Linked DNA regions of Nothobranchius furzeri. The protein of the gene in region 3 purifies or fractionates together with the protein of the main gene of each other region. This does not show direct contact. Links are inferred from orthologs where the notes say so. Each region holds a gene or a part of one and is shown on either strand. Other genes may lie near its edges.

Evidence for each region. The genes of interacting proteins can lie anywhere in the genome.
Region 1: the proteins of ap2s1 (region 3) and fcho2 purify together in Homo sapiens (co-immunoprecipitation; 3 studies listed by BioGRID and IntAct, counting the BioPlex papers as one, with this or other methods). This does not show direct contact. The link is inferred for Nothobranchius furzeri from reciprocal best matches to the Homo sapiens genes AP2S1 and FCHO2.
Region 2: the proteins of ap2s1 (region 3) and necap2 purify together in Homo sapiens (affinity purification with mass spectrometry; 3 studies listed by BioGRID and IntAct, counting the BioPlex papers as one, with this or other methods). This does not show direct contact. The link is inferred for Nothobranchius furzeri from reciprocal best matches to the Homo sapiens genes AP2S1 and NECAP2.

What each region holds. Positions count from the first base shown.
Region 1 is NC_091746.1:66,697,169-66,703,750, forward strand, and holds the start of fcho2 (F-BAR domain only protein 2), read right to left. Parts: upstream 3,886-6,582; 5' UTR 3,724-3,885; coding exon 3,691-3,723; intron 1-3,690. UniProt on the Homo sapiens protein: Functions in an early step of clathrin-mediated endocytosis. Has both a membrane binding/bending activity and the ability to recruit proteins essential to the formation of functional clathrin-coated pits.
Region 2 is NC_091743.1:46,249,985-46,256,398, reverse strand, and holds the start of necap2 (adaptin ear-binding coat-associated protein 2), read right to left. Parts: upstream 3,886-6,414; 5' UTR 3,792-3,885; coding exon 3,697-3,791; intron 2,940-3,696; coding exon 2,839-2,939; intron 1-2,838. UniProt on the Homo sapiens protein: Involved in endocytosis.
Region 3 is NC_091753.1:41,292,847-41,299,232, forward strand, and holds ap2s1 (AP-2 complex subunit sigma), read left to right. Parts: upstream 1-2,117; 5' UTR 2,118-2,267; coding exon 2,268-2,270; intron 2,271-2,685; coding exon 2,686-2,835; intron 2,836-3,265; coding exon 3,266-3,379; intron 3,380-4,578; coding exon 4,579-4,638; intron 4,639-4,826; coding exon 4,827-4,928; 3' UTR 4,929-5,399; downstream 5,400-6,386. UniProt on the Homo sapiens protein: Component of the adaptor protein complex 2 (AP-2). Adaptor protein complexes function in protein transport via transport vesicles in different membrane traffic pathways.

The DNA of each region.
Region 1 (6,582 bases), on a different chromosome or scaffold from region 3:
GTGGGGACAACAGCCTAAGCCAAGAGGCCCAGATTTCCCTTTCCTCAGCCACTTGGGCCAGCTCCTCCGGGGGAATCCTAAGGCGTTCCCTGGCCAGCTGAGAGACATAGTCCCTCCAGCGTGTACTGGGTCTTCCTTTAGGTCTCCTCCCGGTTGGATGTGACCGGGAAACCTCACCAGGGAGGCGTCCTGACCAGATGCCTAAGCCAACTCAAGTGGCTCCTCTTGATGTGGAGGAACAGCAGATCTACTCCAAGCCCCTCCTGGATGACCGAGCTTCTCACCTTATCTCAAAGGGAGAGCCCAGACACCCAGCGGAGAAAACCCATTTCAGCCGCTTGTATCCGTAATCTCGTTCTTTCGGTCACTACCCAAAGCTCGTGACCATAGGTGAGGGTAGGAATGTAGATCGACCAGTAAATTCACCTTCTGGCTCAGCTCTCTCTTCATCACTAGAGACCGGTACGACGCCTGCATCACTGCAGACGCAGCACCAGTCCATCTATCGATTTCGTCCTCCATCTTTCCCTCACTCGTGAACAAGACCCTAACATATTAAAATTCTCCACTTGTAGAAAGTGAATTAACATGAATATGGTTACCAGGAACAGGTTTAGGCTCTAAGTTATGTGGTATTAAAGGTCTCAGAGACATTTCAAGCTATCAAAAGCATTAGCATAGATAGAAAGTAGACATCCAGATCAAACCAGCTGAAGCCAGAACAAACTTAGAGCCCCCCTAGTGGCTGGCTGCAGAACAAGTTTTGAGCTCAACTCCTGTTGATTCACATTGATGCTGCATGCTAAAATATTCATGTTTCTAATATTTTTAATTATAATAAGTCATTTGATACTGGAAAGAAAAACAAATAACACCATGATTAAAGGAAATGGTGTGGGTGTTTCAGCAACTGGATACAAATACTAAACAAAGGAGACATTTTGGCTTCACTTTTGTGCGACTGAAGTAAACGGGAATGTTTCCTCTAAATACCATGGATGCGTCTAAAACAGACATAGGTAATATGATCTAAAATCAGGGGCTGGGTCCTTCAAAGGCTGCATTTTAAAGCTGATTATGTCACAACGAAGCGACACGGCTGTCCAAATTCAAAGGATACTCAAAATACAACCCTTATTTTCACTGAATTTCAAGTTGGGTAGGATGTATTGTTACTGGCCCACCCTATCCCAGCCAGGCTTCACTGTGGGCTGAACAGCAGATATTGTTCCTTACAATAACAGTTGACAAACCTGGAGAATTTTATAGTTTAAATATAGGCTAGTTAATATCTGCTGGTGGGGGGGGGGGGGGGGAGAGAGTTGTGTCATTGGGATTTTTCCATTTGCATAGCTGGTCTTTAAATATATTTTTAAGAGAAAAACTCATAAATGAGCTTGTATAGCGAATGTCGAATATCTTCATGTATCGCTGTTAGGTTTAGTTTTAACCTGTTTAGCACCATCATGGTCGCTAGGCGACAGGGCATACGTTTGAGCAGGAGTCAACATAAACGCTAGACTGTCCAAATTTCCTGCTGCTCAGTAGGTTATTAAGAAAGCAAAGCCCAAGAGAAGCATGGCTCATCACACTTTTGAATTCATTTGATTTAAATCAGGTTTTTCAATGTGTTTGTGAAGGTCAAAGGTCAGTCGTAATTTCAAATATTGACAAGCACAAGAAAAGTTTCTGCTTCAAGCACAACCGCACAACCAGAGTATTTTCTGACTCTCCTCATGGCTGATCATAGCTTCCAGTCTGACTTACAGTGACTTTTATGTAAAACCATTGGACGACAACACACACACACACACACACACACACACACACACACACACACACACACACACACACACACACACACACACACGGGAGAGAAGAAAACAGCCATTCCTGTTGCTTGTGTCAACACTGGTTATCACACTTCCATCTTACTTTCCCAAGGCATGTTAAAGACCACCAGACTGTACATGAATCATAACTCCACAGTTTCATGAAAAAACCACACACTGAGCTCTTTCAGCACACACCACACATACTGAGGTTATGCTACTGACTGCAAACTGAAAAAAGGGGGAAATGAGACTACAAGAGAATCTGGCACCAGTCAAGAGCTGCAGCTCTGTCAAAAAGACAATGTTGCCTTCTGGTTCCTGATTCCTAAAATATCTTATTTTTTCAGCTGAGGGAAGACATTTTCTACAAAGAGCTGAGCTAAGACTGCAAATGAGGAAAAATAAAAGCTAAGAAAATCATTTGGCTCCCCAACAAAACTCTCACACGATGGAGAAAAGTTATGTGTTCCTGTCTGCTTTGCAAATGAAAACAGGTAAAAATAAATAAATAAATAAAAGTCTGCAGAAATTTGACATGTTCAGTGTGTAACAGAGCTATATGCCTGCCTGAGGTGAAGATTTGTAGTCAAGTCAAAAGGGAAATGGATGCATCCCCTAATGCCAAGTATGTGTGTGCTTTGCATGTTAAACACAGCTGATCACAGCCATCACTGGATTCTCTTGTGGCTCAATGCAAGGCACAAAGAGCAGATTGAAGGATCACAAGGACTTATTTTCATTTATGGTCCTTTTAAAGCTTCCTTCAGGAACAAAATGCTATGTAATTATTTAAAATGCACGGCTAAGTATTCATTGAAATGTATGTTCTTTATATGAGACCAGTAGACTGGCTTCAGACTTCATTCTCATCAAGTAACTGAAGCTGAGAGGAAAAAGCTTCAGAAATATTATAGCTGTATTAAACCACTATAGAAATGAGTCAAAATAAAAAAGGTTATTTCCTGCTAAGTTGATGATTGACAAACCTGCAGCAATAAATACCACCGGTGCTAGGATTCAGTTTTAATATCGAAGAACTAAATGTGTTCAGCTTGAAATGCAACAAAATCTTCTAATAACACAGTTATATATAATGAAATCCTGAAGCCAGCCTGTTCGCTATTGTTCATAACAGGATACACTACGAATTTATGAGATTCTAAGACAGTTTATAAGGATCAATATGTCAGAGAATATAAAATGTTGTCATAAGTCACTTTATTAAACATAAAGCTAAACAAAGGTGGAAAAACCATGAAAGCATTCGTTTACCTAGTTTATTTTTCAACCATAGCAGCGTTTGATTTCATCGCCAAAAACTTGACCTTATCTGCTTATGGACGCTGTAAGGTTAACGCATGCGCACTAGCACCAGATGTGTATTACATGAATCAGTAGCTGGGATCTGTCTCCCCTTTTTTAAGAACTTCTTACAACATCTGGTCTCTCGCGCAAATGTATTTACGGAAGAAAATGACGTGTAACAGGAAAACACATGATTGACAGTCGAAACGTCCAATAGTATTCGTGGAATTGACCGTAAACATTCCAAGTAATCCAAGCGCAGCAAATTACCGAGCAAACGGCTGGACTGTTTTAGCTCTCAAGTTAGATAGGTTCAGAGGCCCCAAACCCCGGGGTAGCGAAATTATCGTCCGAAGATAAATTAACGACGGTCCCGGAGGTAGCCCGTCGGTTGGTCTGACTGTACCGGGCAGTGTCAGCTCTGCCGGAGCAAGCCAGGAAACAATTGGACTGGCCCTGCGACGTGAATAGCACTCGGTTCCTTGCTGACATGACCATGTTAGAAAGGGAGCAGCACCGGCGTAAACAGTATTGAAAAGACACCACCTACCCAGAAATTTTCTAGGAAGTAAGGCGCTATCATCTTGTTCAAATCCTCTTCTGAGCAACTTTTTAATTGGCTGTGATGCTATTCTTAAAGCGTAAATCATCCACCGTCCTCCCCCCTTTTCTGTTATATATCTGCCTTCTTGCCGTTTTCCTCCTCTCCCCTTTCTTCTCCCTCCCCACCGACAGACTCCACCTCCACTAGGCTGCACTGCGCCTTTCCCCCCGCGGTTTCTTCCCGAGACGTAGGGAGGAAACAGCGCTGCTAACGGCCGAGGGCGAGGCGAGCACCGGGCTAGCTGCTAGCCGCCCGGTCGATATGCCGCCTTCAAGTGCTCCCTGGAAATTCCTCCATCCTAAACACGACAATGAGGAAAAGCTAATCACATTTGCATAAAGGAAGTTAAATAAATCTAAACCAGAGTAAAGATAAATGAGCAATGTATAATGTTGGGGAAAATGGATGAAACAGTTTTAAAAATATTCTGATTCCTATCTTGGGTGGGCATATTCCAACTGTTTTTTCACCTCTGCAGAAAACCCTTTGTGACTCCTTGATATTGGATTTTTTTCTAATTGCAATGTTTTTTTTTTTTGACCAATCGGGTTGTATATGTTCTTACTTTCTTATTTCTCCAGTTTAACAAAGTATCAGCTCATTTGTTTCTCCTCCAAATCAAGTGTTCTCTTTAGTTTAAAACGTAGTCTTTTACCCACAGGCTGAGCACCCCTCCTCACTGACTACTGAATTAGGTATTGGTGTTTGGGGCTCGTCTGCTGTTATTTTGTCAAGCACAGTTTATGTTGATTGTTTTGACTTAATCCATTCAAAATGTGCCTGCTTATCCTGGTTTCCACCCTAGAGTGAGTAGAGTTTAGAGAGATGCGTAATAATTTGCTACCCATTTTCCATTAAGTTTGTTAACGCGAACAAGTCCTTATTTTATACTAAAAACTCATGACCTACGCATTTGTTGCATTTCCTTCATTCTTTAAGAATTCATAGTGTCCAACACATGTTATGACTCGCAAGCAAATGCAGAAGCAGCTCTTTTCAATTCACTGAGGATCAATATAAAGTTTTTAAATAACTTTTTTAGAAAAGATGCCCAGATGTGTATTTATTCTTATAGCACATAATCCTTTATAAATAAATGCTAGTATTCGATTTAAAACCACAAACCAAAGCACGTTTTTGCAGTTTTTGAATGTCACCCCCTACCAGAGTATTACTCTGCTCCCACTTCATATTTCAAAAATGGAAAAAATGCTGTTGCCTAGTAGACCGAGAGGGCGGAGCCACTAACAAATACACACACAGGCTCACAATGACATTGTGACATCATATGGTACCAGTCAACGTTCTAGGGTACCTCTTAGCCAATAGCGATGGCAGATTTAAATTCAAACGCAGTGCAGTTTTTACCTGACAACGGTGTTGGTGCAGGATCTGCTCGGGTGCAGGATCGGCTCGGGGTTCTTCGACTGCCGATGACGTCAAAGTAGTTGATTGGCTGAACATGAAGCTTACAGAAGTGACGTTATCACGTTATGATTTTGAGTGGTCAGAACTAATTTGCGGTTGTAGTCCTGTAGTCCAAAAATCAACACTTTTTGGAGAAAATATGTTTGAATTTCTAAAGGAAATGTAAAATATAAGCAAACGATATACGGTGACCCTCAAAAGCTCTTGATGTTGATGAAATGGGGCAAAATAAAATATAAGAACTTTATTGAAAGACACCAAGCAATATTTTGAGTCAAAGAATGTATTTAGATAACAACTAAGGAAATATACAGACGAAGTCCACGTTAATACAAACAGATGTGGCTTCACATATAAGAACTGTTCTATTGTTTGTCAGTCCGATGTTGGTTTTATGCAGTTTCACATTCTTTACAAAACAAAGATAATATGGTGTTTTATTAACAAATTACAATTATAAAGAAAACATTTAGGTGTTAACAAACAAGAATTTATTAACAAAACTGCTGATGTCTTTCCAAAACGTGTGTGTGAAAGCCGAGTAGATTTGCAGTCATGTGACGTCATCGGCAGTCGAAGGACCCCGAGCCGATCCTGTACCGACACCGGATCAACACTGAGTTTTAGGCAGACAATAAAAATTTTAACTAAAATGCACTAAAGTGCAAAACTATTGACTACACATGTCTGCAGCACAATCAGACACGCATTTATATAGTTTATCAGAAAAAAAAGTTGATTTGGAGGTGACTTGCTCTTTCATTAGAAATTAAGGTGTAACTTCCTGAAAAATATTAGATTTAAAGGCAAAACAGATTGTTCATTTTTTATGAACAGCTTTCATGTTACTGTCAACATGTGTGTTTATGTTGTGGCTGGTTTGTTTTAGGAAACACAACCACACGTAACTAGTTACCAGGCAACTAGGAATGAATTTTAAAACGTCTCATATTTTTTTAGCCGTGTTAAGTTTAACTCACAAGTGAAGCAATCTTTTGAACTGAAAACGGTGCTCTCAACTGTGCAGGAAGGACAGTCTGCTGAATTAAGCCCTGCCCAAAGGTGAGCTGGGATCACCGAATGGCTTTCCTTGAATGGGAACAGTAGGTTACTACCTCTTGGTTAATCTTTTAAAATCTCATAAGATCAATGTCTTTCTAGGTTCTGTAAATCATCTCTTTGCTATAAAACATTTCTGAGACAAGCCTCTATCGTTTCTCAAATAAAACAACCTGAGGCTCATAATAATGTAAACAATTTATTGGAACAATGTACAGATTCAAGCAATGGTATTCAGTCACACCCACCATGTCATCTTACAAATATTACAAAATTACTACAATACAATATAGAGTCTTTGCATGATCCAAAATATTTGGTGGCCCCAAAAGTATTATTTTTTAATTTAGC
Region 2 (6,414 bases), on a different chromosome or scaffold from region 3:
CATTATAATGAGTGCTACAAACTACATAATCTGGGAATAAAGGAAATGTAACCTAATCTAAAATGGTCTGTATGACCCCCAAATTCCACTACCTCCGCTCCGGTCCGCCCCCGCCTTCCGCAGCCACTCGCTTCCGAACTCAATTTTTACTGGTACCCGCTCTACAACGGCTCCGCTCCGGTGCGGAGACCTGAGGGGGGCAAACAAGCATGCGCGGGATTTTCGAGATCTTGCGATACAGTCCGAGCAATAAACGCGGAAGTTAGATCCAAACACCCGTTGTGTGGGAGAAACATCGGCATGAGCTGTTTAATCTGCCCATCATTTGTGTTGAGAGATGAGCAGTGTTTGGATCAACAAAGTGTGACTACTTTGATCGTAGAAACTGTATTTATGGCTTACTTTTGTGCATTTAAACTTCAGCCGCCATTGATAGTTGTTAAAAGTTGTTAAACCTGTGCATATGAAACAAAAAACGCCTTTTGTTTATCGATTTATTGTGAAAAACGGAAATTGTGCTCGCTCCTTTTCCTGTTGGGCCGTTGTGATTTCTGTCCATTTACTGCGGAGGTGCTCCGGCGTCCGGCGAAAATAGGATCGATTCTATTTTTGCCGGACGCCGGAACAGAGGGCGGCGCATGGCGCCGCACTGCCGGAGCACGGCCGCAGTAGTGGAATTGCTCTGATTGACTACAACGGGACCGATTTTGCTCCGGCGTTCGTGTCGGAGCGGAGCGGAGCGGAGGTAGTGGAATTTGGGGGTTAGGGTTGTCACGGTGTGAAAATTTAACCTCGCGGTTATTGTGACCAAAATGACCACGGTTTTCGGTATTATCGCGGTATTTTTTTTAAACATGCTACATTTTCACACAATTAAATAAACCCTGTATGTCAGGAAAATATTGTCCTCAGTTTGTGTGTAAATTTTGCCTAAAATGTGTTATTTTGTAATTAAGTTGTTTATTTGTTTACATTTTCCCCCTTTAGTCTTTAAAATAGCAATATTTGCCCATAACTTCTTATTTTATGTCTGTTTGATGTCATCATTTTAAAAATATTAGATCAGATGATACTCAGTACTCAAGTAGCCTTCTAATCAGATACTTTTTTACCCTTACTTGAGTAATCCGTATATCAGGAAAATATTGTCCTCGGTTTGTGTCCTTCCAGTCAGCTTTGCAGATGTGGGAAAATGTCATCAGGCAGTAATCATTGTTAAATTCATAATTATTCTCGGAGAGAGACCAACTCTTATCTGCCCCTGGGAGCCCCGTAATGCATAGAGTCATTTCAACATGGGGGTGTCCGCAACACGGTTTATATGCAGGTGGCGGCGCTGCGGCTGCTTTATATAGCGACTCGTTGCCTTCTCCCTCAACCCAATTCCTCGGATCACGCATTTTAGCTAAAACGCTAACGTTAACTTGCCTTGCGTTGACTGTAGAGTTGTGGGTGATGGTCACGCAGATGTGTCATGAGATTTGAAGCGTTGCTGCCTTTCACAGACACTTTTTCTGCTCGTGCTGCAAACAGGATAGCCGTCCGTCTTCCATAAACTCCCTCGGCATTCTTCAAATATCTAAAAGATGCCTGTACTTCCGACTTTGTCTTCTTTGAGGGATAATAAATGTCCTCCTGAGCGCTGCCGTCTCCTCCTTTGACCATTATTTCAGCTTTAGCTTCAAGAAAGTTTTGTTGTAAACAAAGCGTGCATGTGCCGCCGGCAACTTCAGCCGATGATACGGTGGCTGGTAAGGGTCACCGCGCCTACACCGCAGCCACGGTAAACCCACCAAGATAATATATTTTTTTAAAAACAAGACGGTTATTATTGTCAACTTTTTTTCTTTTTTTCTTTTACCGGGGTTTAGCGCTACACTGGTTACCGTGACAACCCTACCTGATCGGTTTGCTCTGATCTATTTTAAAAATTCCGATCAAAACCGATAGGGGCGCTATCGGCCGATTACGATCAAATGCCGATCCATCGGTGCATCCCTACCCCCATGTTGAAATGACGCTATGCATTATGGGGCTCCCAGGGGCAGATAAGAGTTGGTCTCTCTCCGAGAATAATTATGAATTTAACAATGATTACTGCCTGCAAAGCTCACAGGAAGGACACAAACCGAGGACGATATTTTCCTGATATAGGCTTTATTACTCAATTAAGGGTAAAAAAAAGTATCTGATTAGAAGGCTACTTGAGTACTGAGTATCATCTGATCTAATATTTTTAAAATGATGACATCAAACAGACATAAAATAAGAAGTTATGGGCAAATATTGGTATTTTAAAGACTAAAGGGAAAAATGTAAACAAATAAACAACATAATTAGAAAATAACACATTTTAGGCAAATTTAGACACAAACTGATGACAATATTTCCTGACATACAGGGTTTATTTAATTGTGTGAAAATGTAGCACGGTTAAAAAAAATACCGCGATAATACCGAAAACCGTGGTAATTTTGGTCACAATGACCGTGAGGTTAAATTTTCACACCGTGACAACTTTAATACAGACCATTTTAGATTAGGTTACATTTCTTTTATTCCCAGATTATGTAGTTTGTAGCACTCATTATAATGTTGTAGAAAATTTCTGGCCAATCCACGTGATCGGTATCGGTGATCAGCATTCTTTGATATCGGTATCGGCAGCAAAAAACCTGATCGGTGCATCCCTAAACAAAGAATGATCATAACTGCTGTCCTTTGACCCATGATCACTGAGAAGAGTTTCAGGCTGTGTTGAAACCAGTTCATACAAAAAAGGACTTGTTTCACAGCACAACTAAGGTATTTGGCTGTGAGGCTCATGATAAGGTTTACCTGTGTTTTTGTCCTCCAGCTTGATGAAAGCCATCTTTCCTTTGGCTGTGATTTTCATCCTACCGCTCCACGCAGGTTCATCCAGTTTCCAGTCAGCAGCTCTAGATGAAAGAAGCAGGAAAAACCCACCGGATTAGAGAACCATTCATGTAAATCCTCATTTAAAGGAGCTCCTGTCTCTGCGTTTGTTTTAGCAGCTTTACTTGTCCAACATAATGAGGAAGTGAAATTAAAATCTGCCTAAAAGATCGAAAAAAGACAAACAGGGAAACTCCCAGTTGCTTGTTTTTAAAGATAATAAAAGTTGTATAAGTACCATCTGACCAATATAGATTATTGGGGTTAGTTTAGAATGTGAATACAAAACAAAACCTGAAATCACACACACACACACACACACACACACACACACACACACACACACACACACACTTTTGTGTTTTAAAATGTAAACAATGATCAAAATCAATCCACCGAAGTTTACCATTTTACACACAGAGTGAAAACTGAAAGGGAATTTGATTTATTTGGATTTTCTCATAACCAGTTTCAGAGTGAATGATGTAAAACAATCCGTTAAAACAAGAACATGTTTCTTCTTAACTCAAATAAAACATTTGTAAACAAAAAACACTGATGGTGGTGTTTCTAGCTATTAGCTCGCTGCTGCCAGTTGATATTGTTAAACTTTCCCAATATACGAACCTTTAGTGAGAACTAAGAAAAAGAGTCCGTAGCTGTCGAGTGTCTTCAGACCAGTTTGGTTGACAGCTTGTTAGTCCGATAATGGAAACATGACAGTTAAACTAGCCTGCTGACAAACACTTTTTCCGACTCGCCAGAAAGAAGCTTTCTTACCGATATCCGCGGTTGGAGGCCCGCGGCGGGATCCGGTAAACATGAACCTCTGGCTTCACACACAGCATCGACTCATAACTGTTGTCCTCTGCCATTTTGTCAAGTTTCACAAACCAAAAAACAACTTCCGACTTTCAATGGACGCCCGTGCTGAAGCTGCTTGGTGGTTGACGCCGCGCCGCCAGCTTCAAACAGCGCCACCCGGTGTCCGGAGGTTGTAGACGTAACTGTCAATCTGCTGTAAACACGAGTTTGTCCTGGGATTAATATTCAAATTATAGACGAAATAACAACTAAACAGTATTAATATGATTCATGTTCGATATTACTTTATACGTGAAACTAACATGAAGTCCAGATGACATTTTATTTTAAAACTGGCTTAATGTTGGTTCAGCTTAAATAATAATTGCCAGATCTTTTATAAAAAACAAACAAACAAACAAAAAACTACAAGTATCATGTTTAAATGAGTTTATTAAAGGGTATTCAGTTTTCTGTAGGGTTTTTCAAGTTTCAAAACAATTGCATCACATGAGCATCAAACAGGACACCTGGCTGTGAAAGAAAAGCATTGTGATCTGATCACACCGATAGCATGTTGGGTATCTGCTTATTGATACAAGGTCATAACGTATCCCTTAAGTTTCAACACCTGAAAGAGACTGTGTATATTAATAAAAAACTTCTCTAAAGTCAATTATCCAAACCAGATGCTCCCAAATCAGTTTGTTCCAAGATTCCTCCTACAGTAGATCCCAACACATGCCATTAATAAAAGTTTAGCTTTCAAAACATCAAAGGAATTTTACTTCCCTTCAGTCTGCAACTGGTTTTAAAGAAACATAGAAGGAATTGAATTGAGTAAAAACTCTGCTCTTTGTAAGCATTAAGTACCGTATTTTCCAGACTATAAGCCGCTACCTTTTTTCCCACGCTTTGAACCATGCGGTTTATAATGAGGTGCGGCTTTACTGAAGATTTTCCTTCACCTGCCAGGGGGCGCTTTCGCAGAAAGTGAAACAGGTGGAAGTCAAAAGTGGAAATCGAAGAAAGTGCTCATTTTAAATTAGCACATGCAAGCAGCCGGCACGACGAAGAATCTTTTTCAAATCCATACCCCCTCATCATGGTAACTACACGTATGAGTTCATATGATGCCGCATTTAAGTTGAAGGCCATCGATCTGGCAGTAAAGGAGGGAAACAGCGCTGCCGCACGTAAGCTTGGCATGAATGAATCCATGGCTCGGCGCTGGAGACGGCAGCGGGAAGAACTCATTCAAGCCGGCTTCACCCGGGGATGATGACAGCAACACGGACAGAGACACTGACATCGCCACAGAAAAGGTCTGTGACGAAGCTCTTCTGAGGCTGTTCATCTCCGACACTGAAGAAGAGGACTTTAATGGCTTTAGTGCGCAAGAGGAAGATGAGAGCTAATGACTTTTTCTGGTAGGCAAGTGTGTTTTATTTACTAACAGGCATGTTTTGTGTGCAGTTTTTATTTTCTAATCATCCAGGGCTTATTAATGCTGTGTCAGCGCTGTTCTTTCCTTCTGAACATGCAAATTACCGGTAATAACGTGTCAGTGCTGTTTTTATCTTATAACCATCCAGAAATATGAATGCTATCAGTGCTGTTTTCATTTCTAAACTTGCAGGCACATTCACCCGTGTTTAAAATGTGTTTTGTTGAATTAAAACAACAACGAAAAAACTCCGTGTGGCGTCTTTCTGTCTAATTATCTTATGTAATGGCCGTACATGCGCTATGCGCCGGAGACCTGCATGTGGCTGCTGCGCCGCGGCTTGTATTTGAGTGCGGCGTGTGTGTGTGTAGAAAAGCTTTTTTTTTTTTTTTTTTTGTTGGTGCGGCTTATATTGAAGTGCACTCTATAGTCCGGAAATTACGGTAGTTCCTCCAGAAGCCCATCAGAAGCTTCACAGATCAACCATAGAAACAAGGTTTTTGTTTGTTAGCAAGCAGGGTTCATTTATCATTTAAGGCATAAATGTCTAAGAATTCAAAAAGACTTGACTTATTTTTACACTTTATAAGCTCTTCTTCTGATTCTGTGGAAAACGAGCAAACATTTAGTAAAATTCTGCCGTGGGTAAAACACCACAGGAAGACATTCAGACCCAGGAAGAGAGGTTCAGGCTGTATTTCAAAGGTCACTGTTTAAAAAGCAGGTTTTGACCAGTTTTTGCCATTTCTTCCTCAACACTGGCAAAATATTTGCTAAAACGTAGCATCAGATGCGTTTTCCCCACAGCGGGCTTGACGTAACCCTGTCTGTGTGAGTTATAAGCATGATATAAGACTATTATTAATGTGCTGCTGCGTAAACACGAATCTGACTCGAGACGAGATCAAACTCTGATTTTAAACCGATATGAAAACCACAAGTTTTGATTCTTAGTTACCGACTTTCGTCAAGTGTATGAAAATAAATTAAGCACTACAAACAAAGTCTCCCTACTTTTCTGAACTTTACTATCCTCCTGATTTACATCAACGGTCACCAGGCAAAAAGAAAAACACACAAATGGACAACGTTAACAGCTTAAAACAAGACAAAGAAAAAAGAAATCCAGGAAGTCATTTCATTGTTATTGCTTGTAAAAACTTTTAGTGATCCTGCCACTGGGATCAAAGCTTTGGGCCAGAGGCTGCGTACCAGCCGGGCTACCGGTGCTGAGTGTGGGCCTGAGG
Region 3 (6,386 bases):
ACACACTCCTCAAACAGCTCTTTCCCCCACTATAACAGTATTTTAAACCTTTAAAAAGGGATAACCTGACACTCTTATTTCCATTCCTTCACAGCGGATCTCTGTTTCATGCACAGATTCAAATATTAGTCATCATCTAACATATTTGAATGTCCCATGGCTGCATCGCATAGAAAAATTTTGCTTTAAGAACCAAGAACTGTGACCTAAAAGTCTCATCCAGCAGCAGAAAGGGGGAATTTTTCCTTCCCGAGAAAATCAATCATCTCAAAGGTATTCCTAATTACTTGAGTCGTTCTCGGAGTCGTCCACTTGATAAAAGAATTACTATGAAGAGGTTTGCACTCTGATTAGTTCAGCCACTGAATGAATAATTGAATCTTCCGAGGAGGACGGTGGAGCTCTGTTTTCATATTTGAAAAATGTCTGCTGAGTAAAAGAAGACAATGGGCTTCGAGAGCTCAAACGCCAGCTTAATGTCTCTATTCTTGAAAGTCGTCACCTTTTCCACTTGTTGGTGTTTTCAGGGTCCTAGAAAATGGGCCAGTCATAGGGGTCCTCACAATCTGAGATAAAATGACCAATAATGGAGACATCATCACATTAAAATATTTCCTTATTTACGTATGAGACGCATAAAGTGTCCCACGTCTTACCTGACAGAATGAATGATTCATCCTAAATATGAGTCAGGGTTCAAGGTGTGTTGTTTGAGTGAATCCATTTGCTTCTGTCCACTGTGCTTTCATAATATTTGCATGACCTCAATCACACAAAGCAAGATTAGCCTGCAGGGTCAAAGTTCTTATTGAATAATCTGCTTCTGTTTTACGTCCCTTTATCCCAGCTTTGATCTTTTTTCATTATTATTATTATTTATTTTTCCGGGCCTTTTTTACTACCTCGTCCCTCTCCTTGAGTAATGAAATGCATCGCTGTTGAAATTATTTTCTTGCGAAACATTACCGCAGTGTTATAAATCTAAGCACGACTAAAGTCAGTCAAAGCTCACAAGCATTACAGAGGGGATAAAAACAATTTCCCTTTGTTTACACGCTTTCCCTTTTTCTTCTATTCTTTTACGTTTGCACCATTTGCAGCTGAGATATCTCTGGGTCCCAAGGGCAGGCGCATTCCTTTACACAAGAGTTGTGCAATCCCCCCCCCCCCCCCACCCCCACCCCCCCAACCTACACCTCCTCCCATCAGACTCCCTAAATGCCCAGAGCGCTCAGATCCAAGCTGTCTAAACTGTCTGTGCAGTGGCCTGTGGTGGACTGCCCAGCCAGACCCGTAAACAAATGCTAAGCCTTGATAATGCAGGAATAAAACACAAACAACTTCACAATTGTGCAGAAATGTGTGACTATATATAGATTTTTTCAGTAACCTGTAACACCTGAGACAAATTATGTATGACAAACTAATTTACAAAGGGAACATAGCCGTAGTTTTATATGATCTGTCCTTCATGTTTGTGCACTAAATCTTTCCATATAGTGCAGCATAATAGTAAAACTACAATAGCTAAGTAATTTTTCATTACCAAAATTCATATGAAATATAAAACTTTTTCAGGAATTTTTTGGCTTTTTTTTTGCCTTTTTTGACAAAAGTTTTGACTATTTATGACATTTAATCAGCTGCAATCTGTTCTTGCAATTCTTTCCATGGAAATTGCATTTCTTGCTGAAAAATATTATCATAAAAATAATGCATACATCTTAGGTTTCACAACTGAGATTGTTTTATAAAACACTTATGTTTAAATTAACTAAACGCTAACTAGTATGCTTGAATAGAATTGTGGTGGGTTGCATGAAAGCCTCTGAAATAGTTGAAATTTATTTTATTTTATTTTATTTTTTTACTAGGAACTAAATGATTGAATATCACGAACCTGTAACGCTCAAAAAATTATGTGTTAAACTGGCTTGACATATATGTTAAACTGGCTTGACATACATTAATTTGTGAAGGTTTTTCTCATGTGATCCAAAAACGCAACGAAACTCGATACGTCAATCGGGACCGCTGGTTGTTGTAGTTTCTCGTGGATTACATTGACTTGGCAGAAAAGCAGCGATGACTACGTTTCCCAGAATGCAACATAACTCGGCGTAGTTTTGCACATCCTGTTAGCTTGAGAGGATAGCGGACGAACGGGCGGAAAAAAGAGATACCGATGTTTTAATATAAAAGTGGTGCATTATTGCTCATGAACGTAATATTCTGGAGTGCCCAAGAAGCATATTAGGAAGACGAAAATGGTAAAGTTATTCAATTATTCAAGTTAATCTTTTTTTTTATTAGCCGTCAGGTTATGTTAGCGTTTAGAACTCGACAGATAAGCACTCCATTCAGTCTAGAAAACTATACTGGTGGTTAAATTGAGGGTTTAACCACAGAAAACCTCCACTTTAGCCTATGTAGATAGCATGGTGAAATTCAAGAATGTCGAAGTGTACGCATTATGTTAAAAGCTAGGTGTGGTTTAATAGTGCTACCTTTTACACCAGCCAAGCTAACGGTCAGTAATAGCTTCAGTTACTTTCACATCTCAGTAAGCTGGAGTTCCATAGCTGCCAATCTATGGTACATATTATTCCAGTGTGTTAATCATTTGTGTGGGTGGGTTTTGTTGCAGATTATTTTGTTTGATCTAATCCGTTTTCTATCCCAAAGATCCGCTTTATCCTCATCCAGAACCGAGCAGGGAAGACACGATTGGCTAAATGGTACATGCAGTTCGATGATGACGAAAAGCAGAAACTGATCGAAGAAGTGCATGCTGTGGTTACAGTCAGGGATGCCAAGCACACCAACTTTGTGGAGGTATGGGATTGTATAAATGCTTTAATGTGTGGCTGTTTTTGCAGACTGCATAGACATTAAAAAGTTAAGATTTCTAATTTTAAGTATAGCTCAATACTCTTGAAAGAGAGGCTGAAATGCAATTGGATTGTAATGTTTCATATATGGATGTTGATCAATATCTGCAGGAAAATAACATTCAAAAGAACATATTTTCTATTTATTGAACTTGGTCTGTATGTGAAGATAACGCCTTAAATACACCCTTGGGTGACTTATCATTTTTAACAAATACAGTATAATAGAAGAGGTTCCCACCTGTTTATTTTTTGCTTGTAGTAGACTTAAATATAATTATTGGTATACAAAGCCTTGAGTCTCTCAGCTCTGCTGAAACTTCTGTTACACAAATCTAAATTTCTAATTGGATTTCACCATTTTGTCCTCACAGTTCAGGAACTTCAAGATCATTTACCGACGTTATGCAGGCCTGTACTTCTGTATTTGTGTGGATGTGACTGATAACAACCTGGCATACCTCGAGGCGATCCACAACTTTGTTGAGGTAAACAATGAACACACACAAACATCCATCCATCATTTATTTATGAAGCACATTTAAAAACACAGCATTTCAGCTGTCCAGAGTGCTGTACAGGAGGTCCAAAGGCCAAAAAACAGTGGTGGGCTACTCTACAAAATAGATGAGAGAGGAGGGAAAGTATAACAAGTTGGAAGTAAAAAGAGCCCAAACTGTACAAATTGTAGAAAAAGAAAACAAGAACCTAGCAGTAGCTAATACACTTAAAATGAAATCAGTGGACATATGAACAAAACAATAACCTTATTTCGAGATAAAACACACACATGACCTGTGCTTGTCATGGTCTGGTGGGGTTTAGGAGTGTTTCTTTGTGGCTGTGATTTGTTACCTTGCAGTTCTTGAATGCCAAACTGGCTGCATTTTTGTGTGGATTAAAAACTAACATATAGTGGTTAAAAATGATCGTCATTCAGTTATGAAGGCATGGAAAGCATTCATAATAAATGTGTGATTTGGCAATTAAATGTTCACCTTATATAACATCTGTCTGGTGCAGAATGTGTCAGGAGAAAATAATTGAATTTATTTAAAATTATTTAACCTCTATTTCAGCACCGGTTTGAAACACTTAAGCATCAAATACAATTAAAGTTTTTATTTTTATATTTTGATGATTGAATGTTTTGGCTTCGAGTCTGAAACAGAAATGAGGTAAAATTTCACTATTCTGTTTTAGCAGCAGTGTTTTCAGTCTGATCTTTGTGCTTTTACAATAATAATTTTGCACAAGTGAAGCTGACGGTATCCACCTAAACTACTTTTGAAGCCTTTCTCTGAAATGGACCACCTCAGGGATTATTGAGCGGTTTATTTTTTGTTTTTGCATAGAACTGTTAAAAAACTAGGACAAAATGGTTAAATTTGTTGTTATGCTGCAGCCTTTCTGCCATTTCTCACACAATGGAAAGCAAATGGGCAGCTGTGGAAGCCAGAATAAAGTAGAAGAAAATCAATAGTAGACAATAGCTGTCCTTGTTACCGTTAGCCAACAGCTAAACCAAATCCTGAACAACAGGTTTAAAATGTTGTTTTATTTAAAGTGAATTTGGTATTTTCTGTTCTGCAGTCGCATTTCACTCGTAGGAATTGTCGGTAATTGTCGTACACACTTTGGTTGTGTAGCTTAAAATGTACATTTTTCTGTTTCTCTTTGCTGGAAGGTGCTGAATGAATATTTTCACAATGTGTGCGAACTGGATCTTGTGTTCAACTTCTACAAGGTGAGAACACACAGAGGGATTATTTTTCAGATTTGACACAATCTCTGATAGAAAGACATTACATGTATTTTTAATTGTATTATTTTGATGACAAAGAGGGGGAGTTGGGTCATGTTCGCATGCAGTTGATGGTATTTGTGCTCAGATCAGTATTTGTCCTCTCATCTGTTTTGTGCGTCTGTCTCAAGGTGTACACGGTGGTGGACGAGATGTTCCTGGCAGGAGAGATCAGGGAGACCAGTCAGACCAAGGTTCTCAAGCAGCTCCTCATGCTCCAGTCTCTTGAGTGAAAATGTGTCCTTCCTGTGCTTTTTATCTTCTGCCCAACCCGACCTTCACCATGTCCCTATCACTCTGGAAGAACCACACCATTCTCCATGCCCCTGCAGAGCCAGCTCTCATCTTCAAGACAAGGAGGGAGGGGGTTGTTTTGAATAAAAATACACAATATTGTTTACGTATGGATATGAGTTCAGCTGTTTGCCATAGCAGCCCATATGTTGCATTATTCTGATAAACTGCTATAGATGTCATCAACAAGCCTACAGTCTCAGTAGATTTTAACATTTCAAATAGTCCTGCCAATGTTATGAGCTTTGTAACTAACTGCAGAAAAGAGTTGTTTCATGTTTGCATTTATCCATGTTCACTGTGGAAATCAGTGTGAGACTGCTCTCTGTCCCAGTAACCTAAACATTTACTCAATGGCACTACTGTAACTAACAAGCACCATAAAAATAAACTGCAGATAGACCCGAGAACCCCCAACAGCTCCGTAGTTGTTTCTAGACGTCCAGTGTTGTGGGTTATCTCTGCTGAGTCCCAGCCCACCAGCGGACTACAAGTAGGAAGCTCTTCAGAGCCGTTGACCCAGCAGAGAAAGTTCATCCCAGAATGGAGCGTACTCGGGATGAGGAGCGTTTCAGTGGGGTGTTATGGTGACCGGTGACGAGAGAGAAAGTTATGTTGGATTTGTTCAGCTTTGCTTCCAATTACATCAAATGGTGCTTGTTCCCTCTTAAAACACTTAAATACAAAGAAAACCTGGACAGAGTCAGTTTTACATGAAGTGGAACTTTTGCTTTGCGTTGTGTTTGTATACACACACACACACACACACAAATATTTAGCATCTTATGTCCAGTACTGTGTAAAAAAAAAAAAAACAGCTCCTAATCATCTTGAGATTCATACATTCCTTTGATGTTTATTTGCCTAAAACCATAACATGGATGTATGGTGGATGGAAATCTGCTTTATTCATACAGGGGTTAAATGTTTTATCAACATCCCATGATCTAATTTTAACCATATCCAGTCAGATAATCTGAAACTACTTATTTCTTATGAAATAGTAATGACCTATATCCTGTTTCCCTTGTGAGTTAGCTGGTGGAACATGTGTTACAGTCTATTCAACACCTATTTGTCCAGTTTTGTGTAAATAAACAGATTAAGTGATTCTGCTGTCTGTTACTCCTTTTTTCTCTCCAGGATCTTAACGCCATCTAGTGGTGAAAACAATTTAGTCCTAAATCAAGTGAAATGGTTATGAGGTCATTGTGCCAGCCTGCTGGAATCAGTGGATCCATCAACACATCCACTCCAGCCACGCTAGTCGTTACTCCATCGACCCAGGAGGGTAAATCCTGACGATTTGACACGGAGGACATTAACTCGGCTCCGAGTCCTCCGATATCCTCACCTCAACTCCTCTGAATGAAATGACTGGAGAGAGACAGAGGAGG